2 linked regions of the Tamandua tetradactyla genome follow. The protein of the gene in region 1 interacts with the protein of each later gene in a pairwise test. Links are inferred from orthologs where the notes say so. Each region holds a gene or a part of one and is shown on either strand. Other genes may lie near its edges.

Region 1 (7,246 bases):
CTGGTTATAACACCATGGTACATCCATACAATGGAATATTATGCAGCTCTGAAAAGGGACTGGGATGGTCTCTGGATAATGTGGACCAATCTTCAAAATATATTAAGTGAAAAAGGCAAAACAGAACTATGTGCAGACAATGCTCTTATGTTAAAAAAAGATTATATATTGTTCCATTTATGTAAGAAAAACCCCAACGGTATAACATATATCCTCAGTAAGACAAAACAATAAATTGGATCATCTTGCTTGTATCATTCAGCAGCTTGCTTTGTTCACTTGATTTGTGCATTCCAGTGCACACATTCACGTGTGCGTCTAGTACATCCTTCATTCATTCCTCATCCTTCCTTCCTTCCTCCTCTTCTCCATAGATAATAGATGCTCGCACTACAAAACTTAACAGATGCAGGGCAATCTCTCTCCCTCCCTCTCACCTATCACCAAGCCCATCTCTCCACTATTTTTTTTTTTCCACTAAACAGTTCATCCTGGAGGACTTTCCAATATATTTGTGTTTGTGTAAATTCATTTAAAAATGTCTGGAAAGATCCAGCCTAAACTAGCCAGAGTGGCTCCTGGAGAGGAAAGGATTTGGAAGCAAGGCAAAGGAATTCTCCATTTCAAAATTTAAAATAAAGATGCTGCCTTCAGTTATTGCTTAGGTATTTCAAAACAGGGAGTGTATTTCTTTTTTCCAATGTGATTTTTTTTTTTTACAGCTTTGTCCTGATGGTCCAAGGGCTAGCAGAATCTCAGAGTCCACATGCAGAGTTAGTCTACCAGACAGACAACTGAGTGTTCCAGTTTACCATTACCGGAGAAATGGGGCAAGGCAGAGAGTGTCTCTCTAAGGCCCCATTCAACTGTGGAGGAAACTGCCATGGATCCAGCTGTGTAATTGTACATGTCGCTGGAGGAGGGCAATGCGAGGGCATGTCAGGAAAGGTTCCTTCCAGACCCATCTGCCCACCTATTCAGACCCCAGATGAGGAAAAGGAGGCCCAGGTATGAGGGTCTAGAAGGACACAGTTTTCAGTCCTGTTAAAGACCTTCCCAACAGCCAGGGCAGGATTAATGGGGAGACACCACTCAGAGTCAGCTGTCAGCCTGAGGCTCACCTCTCCAATCACGCTGCTCCCAAATCCACAGGCTGCCTTGGGAGGGAGGAGCCCTGCATCCAAGGAAAGGTCACAGTGTCCTCTAAAAACGAATGCAAAAGGGGGCGGCTGGAGTGAGATATTTCTGAGTTCTAATCCTGGCTTGGCCCCTTCCTGGCTGGGTAGTGCTGGGCAAGTTCCTCAGTCTTCCTGAGCCTCAGTTCCTTCATCTGCAAATGGGAATGTCATGCAAAGGCCACAGGATTTGGGGTACCTGGGATGGAAATGCAAATAAAGCTCAGCACCACCCTGCCGCGGGTAGGTGTCTGGAAATGATCAGTATTGCAGTTCTGTTATTATCGCCCTTATTTATAGCTGAAGGTGTGTCAGTGCTCCTCTGGGAAGTCTTAGAAATCTCCCCAGGGATGAGGCTGCGATGACAAGCCTTATTTCACAGGGCTGTTCTGAGAATCCCTAATATCCTAATATCCTTAATATCCTGGCAGGGAGGAAGGCGGAATCACACCCATGACACACACTCACACACACACCCGAGGCTGACAGCGGTACCTGCACCCCTCAGAAACACACTTCCTTCAAGTAGTCTGAGACACACTCAAAGCAGGGTGGGGCTCACACACAGTTACATGACACACCCCTCACCCTCCATGACACACCCCTCACCCTCCACGGCCAAGCCCACACAGCGCTCGTCTCGGAATGATCACATCGGTTACCCACACCAACACGCCCACACGCACCGACCAACAGCGGGGCCGCGCCAGCTGGGGGCCCTGACCAGCCTTCCGCAGCCCGGATTCCCCCGTGGGAGCGGAAGCTGCTGGCGGCGGGTGTCTGGGGGCAGAAAGGTCAGCGGAAACCGAGGGGTGCTCACGGGACCGGGAGGGGGTGAGGCAGAGGGGTTGGGCCCCAGCGCCTGGAGAAGGGGAGGACCTCCGCCCTCGCCCCCGCACACCCCGGAATCTGCGGACACAGCACACACGGTCTATAGGAACAAAACACCCACGCGCACAGTCCAACCTGCAAAGCCCTCAGCCACCCCGCCAGGTGGGCGCTCACCTCCGGCACCGCGCGCTTGTCCCACCCGCCTGCACCGGCACCTGGCGCCCTGCACCGGCACCTAGAGCCCTGCACCGGCACCTAGAGCCCTGCACCGCCTGCTCCGTCCCACTGCCCTGGTCCAGCCATGCCCCCCCCCCCCCCCGCACAGCCGACACCTGCCCCGAGCTGCCCAGCCCCCTCCCCAGATCCTATCATCCACAGAGACACGCTCTCACATCCCCTTCGGCACAAACACACATCCACAGCTACACGGACTCCACTCCCAGTCCCCTAACCCCCAGCCCCACAGGCCCCTCACACACAGGTCTCCCCCACAAAACAGCACAACCCCCCCACTCCACTTTCACGGAAAAGACAGACATCTCCACACACCTCTCCAGGATGTGACCCAGATCTATCTCCTTGGGGCTCTCCTCCCCTCTCCCGCAGGCACAGGTGCCACTCCCCGCAGGTGTGCACACTCGCCCCAACCGGACTCGGCCACACTCCGGCGACCCCACGCCCTGCGGGACCTGTCACCTAAGACCCGGCGGGAACACTCAACCTAGGCAGTCCCGAGGACGGCGGAGTTTGGGTTGGTTAAAAGTCGTGTATGTGTGTGTGTGTGTGTGTATGTGTGCGCGCGCGTGTGGGTGAACGCGCAGCCACCCTCGGACGCCCACAAGTCCCGTGCCCTACGCCCGCCTCCAGCCCCCAACCTGCCAGGCCCAGGTCCACTCCTCGGCCCCCGCAGGCTACCTTCCCCTCGCGACCTGGCACCGCCCGAGCTCAGGGCCGCCAGGCACTCCCAGGCGGACCGGTCGCCGCTCCGCTGCGGCCGAACTCCCGTCCCGATCGCGCTCGGACCGGGGTCCCGAGCAGCCGGACACCTGCTGAGCCGCCGCCGCTCGCGCTGCGTGTGTCCGGCGAGCGGCCGGCAAGGGACTCCGGCTCGCCCGCCGGGTGATGTAAACCTGAGCTAATCAGCGCCGCCTGACGCCCGCGGGCCGGGGATTGCACCATCCCCCGCGCCCCGCCCGCGAGGTCACCGCCCCGGCCCCGCCCCCTCCGGGCCGCCCTCTGCCCCCGGTAGCCCCAAGGTGGGGCCGGCTAAGGCCGAGCGCGGAGACCAGGCACGGCCTCTCCCTATCATCTTGGAAAAACCACTTTGCTTTTCTGAGCCTCTGTTTCTCCATCTGTGAAATGGGAAGAACACCCTTCGCTTCCAGGATGGTGCTGAGGAGAGAGAGAGCAGACAAGACAGTCCCGCCCTGGCCTCGTGAAACCTTTATGAGAACCCTGGGCAGAACTTCCCGTTGTGCCCATTCTACTGATTTGCAGTCTGAGGCCCTGCTATGGGAAAGCAATGCAGGAGCTTTGCAAAGACTCGCAGGTTTAAGGGCTGACACTGGGAGCCGATTCCGAGCTCACGAGAACCATTGGAGGCTCCAGGAGTGGCCTGCACTTCACAGCCGGGTCCTCAGCATTCATTGGATAGAGGCAGTGCTGCCTGGTGGTTAAGGACAAGCACCCTAGCATGAGCCCCACCTCGCCCCCCACACCGCGCTGCCTCAAAACCCTGCTTCAGTTTCCTCCTCCATTGAAGAGGCTGGTTCTAGTCTTCTCCTCACGGGGCTACTGTCAGGATTAAGTTAACGCAGGTAAAGTGCTTAGAACAGCGTGTGACGTGTTGTAGGTTCTCTGTAAATAAAGTGGAGACACCAGAGTCTCCGGAGAGGAGAAGAGACCCACAGCAAGACTTGAACCCAGGCCACGGAGGGTTTTGCTGGTGCCTCCCTGAGCAGCACCCTTCTTGGGAATCCCTTTTGGGTCTTGGTATCTAAATTCACCCAGTGTCAAAAAATAACTCCCCCTGGCAGAGGCTGGCTGGGAGGAGAGGGAGTCGCCTCTGTTTCTCTGGTTCCTGAACCCCAGGGATCAGCTCACTGTATCTCAGAACTTCCCAGGGCCTACCGGAGGGATCTGGGGTGTCTTTTAACCCTGCTGACTCCCCTGCCAGGGATATGTGAACAAATTCATTTTCTACACCATGACACCAAGGCTCAGATTGGAAGATGCCATGGCTGTAAGGGTTGAGGAATGGAGGACCGGGTTTGCTCATAGATTCCTAATTTTGTGGCATGCTGTGTCAGGCCCTGTTCCAAAACCAAACTGGGGATTCAACAGGGATGAGACTGACCCGTCTCTGCCTTCACAGATCGTATAATTCAGTGGGTAGACAGACCATTATCAAGAATCAAGATCATTTAAGACAGATTGTGCATCATGTATTTATTTCATTGAATAAAAGAGAAGTGTGTTCTCTATCATGACTGGTAGGCAGGCAATCTTCAATAGAGCTCATCAGGAAGGTAATTTTGAATTAAGATATTAAGGAAGAGGACTTCCGGAGAAGATGGCGGCTTAGTAAGACGCGCGGGTCTTAGTTCCTCCTCCAGAAAAGCAACTAAAGAAACAGAAACAATACAAAACAGCTCCCGGAGTCACGACAGAGACCAAAAAAGACAGCGTACCCCATTCTGGAACGGCTGAACGGGTAGGGAGAATCCACTGCTGTGAGCTACCCGAGGGGTGCACGTTTTCCCGGCTGGGGTGGCTGGCGTCTGGGGTCCCCTCCACGCACGTGGCTCCCCGGTCTGACTGGGAACATTGGATAGCGGGGCCCTCCCGTCACGCTTGGCGTCTCGGGCCAGCTGGGCAATTTGGACCGGCACTCCCCCAAGCCACGGCCAGCGACCCCCGCCTCCACGAGCGGTTTCCCGGGCCGACTGCCCCGCAGACAAACGACCGCCACGAGCGCCACCTACTGGGCAGGAAAAGAAAAACAGAGCCCAGAGATTCCACAGAAAAACCTTTCAACCAGCTGGGTCCCACACCCAGGGAGATCTGATCAAATGCCCAGACACCAGCAGAAAATAATGGATGACGCTCAGAAAATTGAAGATATGGCCCAATCAAAGGAACAAACCAATAGTTCAAATGAGATACAGGAGCTGAGACAACTAATGCTGAATATACGAACAGAAATGGAAAAACTCTTCAAAAACCAAATCAATAAATTGAGGGAGGACATGAAGAAGATATGGGCTGAACAAAAAGAAGAAATAGAAAATCTGAAAAAACAAATCACAGAACTTGTGGGAGTGAAGGACAAAGAAGAAAAAATGGAAAAAACAATGGATACCTACAATGGTAGATCTAAAGAGACAGAAGCTACAATTAGTGAACTGGAGGATGGAACAACTGAATTCCAAAAAGAAACGGAAACTATAGGGAAAAGAATGGAAAAACTTGAGCAGGGAATCAGGGAACTGAATGACAATATGAAGCGCACAAATATACGTGTTGTGGGTGTCCCAGAAGGAGAAGAGAAGGGAAAAGGAGGAGAAAAACTAATGGAAGAAATTATCACTGAAAATTTCCCAACTCTTATGAAAGACCTAAATATACAGATCCAAGAAGTGCAGCGCACCCCAAAGAGAATAGACCCAAATAGGCGTTCTCCAAGACATTTACTAGTTAGAATGTCAGAGGTCAAAGAGAAAGAGAGGATCTTGAAAGCAGCAAGAGAAAAACAATCTGTCACATACAAGGGAAACCCAATAAGACTATGTGTAGATTTCTCAGCAGAAACCATGGAAGCTAGAAGACAGTGGGATGATATATTTAAATCACTAAAAGAGAAAAACTGCCAACCAAGACTCCTATATCCAGCAAAATTGTCCTTCAAAAATGAAGGAGAAATTAAAACATTTATAGACAAAAAGTCACTGAGAGAATTTGTGACCAAGAGACCAGCTCTGCAAGAAATACTAAAGGGAGCACTAGAGTCAGATACGAAAAGACAGAAGAGAGAGGTATGGAGTAAAGTGTAGAAAGAAGGAAAATCAGATATGATATATATAATACAAAAGCCAAAATGGTAGAGGAAAATATTATCCAAACAGTAATAACACTAAAAGTTAATGGACTGAATTTCCCAATCAAAAGACATAGAATGGCAGAATGGATTACGACCCAGCAATACCACTGCTAGGTATCTACTCAAAGGACTTAAGGGCAAAGACACAGACGGACATTTGCACACCAGTGTTTATAGCAGCATTATCTACAACTTCAAAGAGATGGAAACAGCCGAAATGCCCATCAACAGACGAGTGGCTAAACAAACTGTGGCGTATACCTACGATGGAATATTGTGCAGCTTTGAGACAGACTAAACTTATGAGGCATGTGATAACATGGATGGACCTAGAGAACATTATGCTGAGTGAGTCTAGCCAAAAACTAAAGGACGGATACTGTATGGTCCCACTGATGTGAACCGACATTCGAGAATCAGCTTGGACTATATCATTGGTAACAGAGACCAGCAGGAGTTAGAAACAGGGTAAGATAATGGGTAATTGGAGCTGAAGGGATACAGACTGTGCAACAGGACTAGATACAAAAACTCAAAAATGGACAGCACAATAATACCTAAGTGTAATGTAACTAGGTTGGAACACTGAATGAAGCTGCACCTGAAATATGGTTTTTTGTTTGTTTGTTTGTGTGTTTGTATCTTTTGTTTTTGTTTTTTTCTTTTTCCTTTTTATATATATATATATTATTAGTATTATTATTTTAATTCTCTTCTCTATATTAACATTCTATATCTTTTTCTGCTGTTTTGCTAGTTCTTTTCCTAAATCAATGCAAATGTACTAAGAAATGATGATCATACATCTATGTGATGATACTAAGAATTACTGAGTGCATGTGTAGAATGGAATGATTTCTAAATGTTGTGTTAATTTCTTTTCTTTTTTTTGATTAATAAAAAAATTTAAAAAAAAAAAAAAGATATTAAGGAAGAGAAGGAATGAGGGGGAGACAGAGCAAACAGTAAGTGCAAAGGCCCTGGGGTAGGTAGGCACCTAAGGGGCCATGAGACAGGTGCTGTTGCCTCCATTGTAGAAAAGAGTGAAGGTGAAGGTGACAGGCTCACACTAGGCCATCCACTTTGTCTGAGGCAGATTTGAGATTTGAACCTGGGACAGCTGACTCCAGTGTCCGTGCTG
Region 2 (7,335 bases), on another chromosome or scaffold:
GAGGGGGGGCTCCAGAGGGAGGAGGGCTGTAAAGTCAACCCGTTCAGTCATCCAGTCTGAGAAGCCGTCACCTAGGGGATTAGAGGGGGGACATAAAAATTCGCTGAGTTCCTGGGCCTCCATTCAATTGGTGCTCACTCATCTCTGCCTCATTCAGGCCCCATTCATCAGTAAAACGGCTAACCACTCAACAAACCAATCAATGAATCCTCAAACCAGTCAGTAAACCAACAAACCTGCCAAGGAACCAATGAACCAAGCAACCAACTAATCAACCAAGCAGTGAACCAGTCACCCCTTCCAACCAACCAAGCAACCAACTAATCAACCAAGCAGTGAACCAGTCAACCCTTCCAACCAACCAAGCAACCAACTAATCAACCAAGCAGTGAACCAGTCAACCCTTCCAACCAACCAAGCAACCAACTAATCAACCAAGCAGTGAACCAGTCAACCCTTCCAACCAACCAACCAACCAACCAGTCAACCAACCAACCAAGGAACAAGTCAGCCAATTCATCAACCACCTAAGGAAACAATCAACTTATCCATCAAAGAGCCATTCAGCCATCCACCCAACTACCCAACCAGTCAACCATCCAACCAACTAGTGGACCAAGCATTTCTTCAACCATTCCAACATCTTCTTTATTGATTACATCTGTGGTTTTTCTGATTCACTCTCTCTCTAGCTTGTTCTTCAAATACAAAGTGAAATGCATCACACACGCACCTTATTTCATCTTTAGTTCATTAATTATTGAAAACCCACTATGTGCCAAGTGTTTGGGATACAGTAATGCATAAAATAACTGCTGCCTCAAGGACTCTGCATACTCTCTTTCTTCCACCTGAAATGCTCTTCCCTTGGGCTTTTCATGGTTCATTCCTTCCCATCCTTTAGGCCTCAGCCTAAATATTATCTACTTGGAGAAGCCTTCCTGGCTAAACTAGGTCCCCTTTGTCATGTTCTAGCTTAGCTGCTAAGGGCCCACTTAGCCGTCTCACCATGGGTGCCCCAAACCCCACCCCATTTAACTTGTCTCTTGTCTGTCTCCACTAGAATGTGAGCTCCAGAAAGGCAGGGATCACGCCAGTCTTTCTTCCCAGCTGTATACTCAGCACCTAAAACAGTGCCTGGCACATTGTAGGTACTCAATAAATATTTACTGAATGAATGAGTGAATGAATGAATGAGTTCTTCCTTCCCCTTTGTCCCCCACCTCCCCATCTCACCCTACCTCCACTCTTCATCTATCCTTACCTGTCAGGGGCTCTCCCCCCCCTGGAATCCCGCCCTCCAGGGCTCCCCCAAGGACCTCATAGGGGCCCAGGGGGGCAGGGGCCAGGGGGAGTTTCCCATAGTCTACGAGCCAGCCCAGCCCGCTAGCTGGGAGCAGGGCCCTGTCCAGCTCCAGACCCAGGGTCGCCAGGAGTGACATGGCTGCAGCACAGGCGCCGGGCACCAATGGCAAGGGAGGTTGCAGCACCAACTGCTGGGAGGAGGCTCAAGAGGATGCTCGGATGGGCGGAGACAGGCAGCAAGGCCAAAGTAGAGGATCTGCAGGTGGGAAGCAAAAGGGGTGGGGTCAGAGGCCAGCTCCACCCACTGGGCAAAGGCACAGGACCGCCCCTAAGCTACACCCCCATTGCCACGGAGACCCTCCTCTCAGAATTCCAAACCTGCTCTTTTTTCCCAACAATCTTAGAGCCCCACCTACTCCCAAGGGAATTGTCCTTGGGCCCAGCCTACTTTTCTCCCAAGCTCCACCCCTTCTTCTAATAGAGAATGTAGTGTCCTCCCAGCGGAATTTCCTTACACCTTTCCCATTCACCCCATGATACTCCTCTTTAATAAAAAAAAAAAAAAATCCAATCCCAGGGGAATTTCCTTCCAGCCACACCCTGTCCCTAAATTATTTCCTTTAGATCCCACCCCCTCTCGAAATCCATTCCTTCTAAAATCAGTTCCCAGGGGAATTCTCCCATGCTTTGCCTCTTCATCAGTGTTCTCCACTGAATTATCACCGTCATTACTTTAAACTGTGCGGTGACTCCCACGATGCCCCCAAAGTCCTGCTCCTCTCCATCTACTTTAGTTCCACCCCTCCCTGACAATTCTCTGTGGATCCCGCCTCATCTCACAATAGGCTTCACAAGCCCCGCCCCTCGCTACTGCTGTGGCCCTAGCCCCACCCCCTCTCCTAGAGGGTGGCCTCTAAACCCCGCCCCCACACCGTCAATCTATGCCAGGCCCAGCAGGTGCTTGGAGAGGGAAGCTGGGCAGTGCGCCCGCGCAAGGTGGAAGGGACACGTTGAAGGAGGGAGCAGAGAACGGCTCCCTACCCCATACCCCTCCGCACGCGCCTGCCTCCTCGAGAGCTAAAGCGCGTGATCGCTCCCTCAAGCCTCCGCCCTACGCGAATACTGGCTCTGGTGGGCATGAGCGGCCGCGCACGGACAGGATCGTTTCCGAAAAAAATAAAACCCACCCTTTCTGAGGGCTAGTGCGCAGGCGCCTCGGCCCACGGGCCAGACTCAGGCACAAACACCCTCGCGGGAAGGGCCCTTCCCCACCCCGGACCGAGTGCGCATGCTCGGCCGCGCGCCGCCGACCGCGGCCTCTCCCTCCTGCGCCTGCGCGACCTAGAGTCCACGCTCCCGGCTCCCCACCCCCCGGCCCCGGTGAGAAGGCCGCGCGCTGTGAAAGGGCGGGAAGGGCGGTTGGAGAGGGAGGGGCGAGCGGTTACTCACTCCATGGCGGCGGCAAGGAGAGGCGGCGGTAGCCTCGGCTGAAGAAAGAAGCGGGAGCGGAAGGCGCAGGCGCGGTGAGCGCGGAGATGACCGGGGGGCAGGGAGGATTCGCGGCTACAGGGCCATGGCCGGGACTGCGCGGGTGGTGGCGTCGCGCTGGCGTGAAGGGAGACCGTGATCCGAGGATAGGGAATGAGGCGGCCCCGGGGACCCGGGACAGATATAGCGGGGGTGGCGCAGCACGGCTCTGCCGGATCCTTCCGCGCTCCGCCCCTGCGGGCCCCGACGGGCCCTGGCAGGGAGGCGGGCCCGGCCCCCTCGTCTCTGTGACCCGGAGTTTGGGCCCTTTTCTCCTCTCACTCTGGGGCCCAGTCTTCTCCCTGACTCGGGTGCCTGGCGCCCTCCTCTCACTAACCCTGCGGTGCTGTGGTCCTCTCTTCCGTCTGACCCGGGATTCCGACCCCTTCCCTCCTCTGACTCTAGGGATTCTGACCCGGGAGCACAGACCCCTTTCTCCTCCTTCCTTTGACCCCAGGGTCTGGGGCCCGACCCCATCCCCCTCAGCTTCCCTCAGGCCTTCACGTGTCTCTCGCCTTCCCCTGCTTCACGAAAGAACTTCCGGCCAGCCGCACCGGAGTCTCTGCCCGTGCCTCCGTGAGGATCCTTGTGGGTTACTTCTGCGGGACCCCGGGGTCAGACGGTGCTCTTTTCGAATCACCTGCCTGGTGATCTTGAGCAAATAAGGTCTGTGGACCTCTTGTCGCTATCTATAAAATGAGAATTATACCCTCTATTTGGTGGGGTTGTTTGAGAATTAAAATGACAGTGTCCATGAAGCACAGCCCAGCTTGTACTCATCTGGTAACCCTGTCTTCTTATTAATAGGAACGTTGGGACTCAGTATCACGTTGTCTTCCCCTCCTGGCAGAGCCCCAGATACTTGACCAAGATTTGCTGGTAGGTTCCTCTTATGTAATTTCCAGCTATCACCACCCTCCCCCATTCCAAAGGGTGGGTGTTCAGCCCACCCCCGTGCAGGGATTTTGGCATTGTTACCCCCACTTCATCCTTTTTCCACCCTCTGTTCACCTCTGCCCACCTGCCAACATCCACAGTCCCTCAGTCCTTGTCCTCTATACTCTGACTCCACCGCGTGTGTTATTCTCTGCTTCTGCCTCTCACCCAAACTTTGTTTCAAATTGTCCTTTGCCTAAGCTGCCACTCACTGTGTGAGGAACTCAACCCTGCCAAAAAATGGGGAGATTTATGATTCCATTTAGTGAAAGAAAGCAGCCTCCTAACTATTCTTCCCCCACCCCCATACATTGGACCCTCCACCAGCCCTGGTTGGATGTAGATCTTTCCTCTGCTGCAGAAACCCTCTTTCCCACCTTGCATCCATCCACATCAGAATGTTTCACTTGGAGTTCAGCCCTCATCCCTTCTATTTGTGGGTACATGGGTTAGGAATCGAACCAGGTCTTCTGCATGGCAGGCAAACAGACATTCTACCACTGAACCACACCTGCACCCCCAACCCTCATCCCACCTGGGACAGTGAAGACACTGAATCGAGGCCCAAAAAATGTGTGGGAACTTTGATTTTGAGAGTGTCTGGGAGTTAAGAAATCCCCTCTCTTCCTTCATTGTTACATGTGGGAAGTCCTTCTTGGATCTGACCCCTTACCCTCTTGGTGTCCATCCACTGGGCCAGTACTGAGCACTTGCCCCATAGCTGGGCCCTTTGGAGCTACATTATGACCTAGACAGGGTACGGTAGTGGTTATCAGCACAGGCTCTGACACCAGGTGATCTGGGTGCACAGCTGGCTGTGCTCCACTCACTAGCTGTGTGACCTGGGCAGTTACACTTATTTCCCTGTGCCTCTGTTTACTCTGTGCCCAGTAATAGTACCCATCTCTTAGGGCTGTCATGAGGATTAAGTAAGTTAGTCCATGTCAAACATTTGGACTTGTGCCTGGCTGCTGGTTGGCACTGTTAGGGGTGGTGGTTAGGATTGTTGAAGCTCCAGTTGCAGGAGTTAAAGTTTCAAAACTAGCCCTTCACCAGTTTCTGGAGGCTTAAGGACAAACTTCCACTTCTCACTATAACTCAGTGACAGCAGGTGGTAGGGGTTAATGCTAGACAGTTGGACTCACTGCGGTCAGTGAGGAGGTGCCGCCCAGACCACCAGATTGATGAGGCTGCCACCCTTACTGGGAAACCTGCTGCTGCTGGCAGGATCTGGCTCCTAGACACTAGTTTCACTCTTCTCCTGCCATCTGGCCCCTTCCCTAGCAGAATCTGTTTCCTCCCTCTGTCCCTTTCCTACAGTAACCTCCCAGAATTGTCTTCTGAGTAGGGTCATAGATTATTTTTTAGATAAACTTTTTACTTTAGAATAATTTTAAGATTTACAGAAAAATTGCAAAGATAGAAAATGTTCTCATGTACTCTTGAACAGTCCTGGCCTTTGGGTATTTTAGGGAATGTCCCTCAGTATGAGTTTGTCTCATGGTTAAACTGACATTGTGGGGTTTTGAGCAGGTGGCCAGGGAGGGTATCTTTACTAACTGAAAAGAAACTAGCTCGGTTTGGGAATCATATTGCTGATTGTATGTGATGTACTGTCTGAAAAGTCATCTTCTTGGTCCTAGCCCCCATGCCCTTTTCACTCTGGCTGTTGGAGCCTACCTAATTCAGCCCTGGCACAGACTGGCCCACCTAGGCAGCATCACTGGGTTTTGCCAAGTGGGTGCTGGGTGCTCTGGGCTGCCCAGGCCTGCCAATAGATTCTAGTTCACAGGCAGTCATCTGCAGCTGGCACCCTGTGCCTTGTCCCATATCCATGCCTGACCCAGGTTCTGGCCTCTCCAGGACTCAAATGCCTCAGCCTCCCCCAGTCTCCCACAGCCTTTCAGGGTGCAGGTGCCCCAGCTCCTTCAACTCCTGAGATTGGAGTTGGAAGCATGGGTGGGGCTGCTGAGGACTCTTTTTCGGTGCGGAGGGGCCAGGCTGGGGAAGTGAGACGGCGATTGCAGGCGGGTTGCATCAGCCCTTGCTCTTTGATGGGGAGGGGGAAAGGGGGGATCCCCTGGGGGCCTGGCGCACCTGGCAACGGCTCCTTTTTAGCAGAGCCCTGTATCATGGAGGGCTCTGGCCCTGCACGGGTGGAGGGTGTGGAGGGAGGGAAATCAGCTGTCTGGGCAGAACTTTGAGAATCTGAGGCCCAGTGCCAAGAAGGGGCCTCAAGGGCAGAGCCCAATCCACTTGTCTTGGGGAGCCAAGACTGAGGCCACAAGAGGCAGAGGAGGTTGTGCAAAATTGCACTGCTCTTCAGAGCGCGAACTTACACAACACTTCCCTGCAGCACCAGCCCTGGGAACCCCATTCCTTGGTCCATGGTGTAGCCTCTTGGGGCCACCAAGCTTGGACTTTCACCTCAGGTTGGCTCTGCTCACAATTGCCAAAAATTCTATTGATTCTACCTCCAAAATATCTCTCATGGACCTTCCCCTCACCATCCCACTGCCCCAGAGAAGGCCTCCTCACCTGTGCTATTACAGCAACCCTCAGTGGTTTCTCAATCAAGGCCTCACCTGGCATAAGAAAAGAGGTACTACATTTGGCATCAGATGGACTCGGGGTCCTATTCTGGCAACTCATCACTTACTATCAGTCCTCAGCCTGTCAGAGCCCTCTGCGTGCTGCCTGGGGCTTAGCTTGCGCTACAGAGATGGCCTGCTGGGTACAAAGCCCCACTTGTCACACTTGCTCCATGACCTTTGGCAAATGGCAGCATCTCTCTGTGCCTTGGGTTCCTCACTGGTAACGGGAATGAGAAGACCCACCTCATAGGGTTGTTTTGAGGATTAAACAGATGAATGTTCATAAACTTCCTAGAGTAGGGCCTCGCGTGTGGGAAACACTCTGCGAGCATAGTTTTTTCTCTCTGAGGCTCAGGGTGCTAGGAGGCCCAAGTGAAGTGATGCAGGTGAAGCCCAGTCCCTAATGGAAACTGAGGGTCTATCTGGGTTAGTTTCTCTTCCCTTTCCCTCCCCTGTTCACGCCACACTTTGTTCTGCTTTCATCACTGCCTCGCAGGCAGGTGTCCGTATATGTGACTGTTTGTGGGTACTTAGAAGACAAGGATGGGATCCCCTCATTCCCAGAATTGTTGCCCATATTTAGAAGGAACTGCTTGTCCACAGAAGCTGGGACATTCTACACTGTGGCCCTGAGAAGCATCAGGACTGGTGTCTGGTCACGTAGGCCAGGAGGGCAGGGGTTGGAGGTTATGTCCTGCAAACAAGGGTAGTAAGGCCATGGCCAGTGCAGTTGGGGAAAGGGCAGTGTGGGGCCGGGTGTCCAGAGTTCAGGCTTGCCACGTGGCCCAGCAGCTCAGAGTCCTGAGCCCTCTTTCTCCCCTCACTTCTGCCACGTGCCCCTCAACAGGAGCAGTCCCAGCTCTTAGAGCACAGTTAGGTTGTGCCTTGGGGTGCAGCAGCTCTGCATCCTTGGGGGATCACTCCTTTATGAGCTCTCCGGGCCCCTGTAACAGTTACCACAAACTTAGTATTA

Evidence for each region.
Region 2: the proteins of TRIB3 (region 1) and ATF5 interact in a two-hybrid assay, tested with the Homo sapiens proteins (2 studies listed by BioGRID and IntAct). The link is inferred for Tamandua tetradactyla from reciprocal best matches to the Homo sapiens genes TRIB3 and ATF5.

The regions. Positions count from the first base shown.
Region 1 is NC_135327.1:22,256,353-22,263,598, reverse strand, and holds the start of TRIB3 (tribbles homolog 3), read right to left. Parts: upstream 3,109-7,246; 5' UTR 2,922-3,108; intron 1-2,921. UniProt on the Homo sapiens protein: Inactive protein kinase which acts as a regulator of the integrated stress response (ISR), a process for adaptation to various stress. Inhibits the transcriptional activity of DDIT3/CHOP and is involved in DDIT3/CHOP-dependent cell death during ER stress.
Region 2 is NC_135342.1:11,236,879-11,244,213, forward strand, and holds the start of ATF5 (cyclic AMP-dependent transcription factor ATF-5), read right to left. Parts: upstream 3,016-7,335; 5' UTR 2,755-3,015; exon of another isoform or gene 2,727-2,754; intron 2,498-2,726; exon of another isoform or gene 2,354-2,497; intron 1,562-2,353; 5' UTR 1,443-1,561; coding exon 1,265-1,442; intron 72-1,264; coding exon 1-71.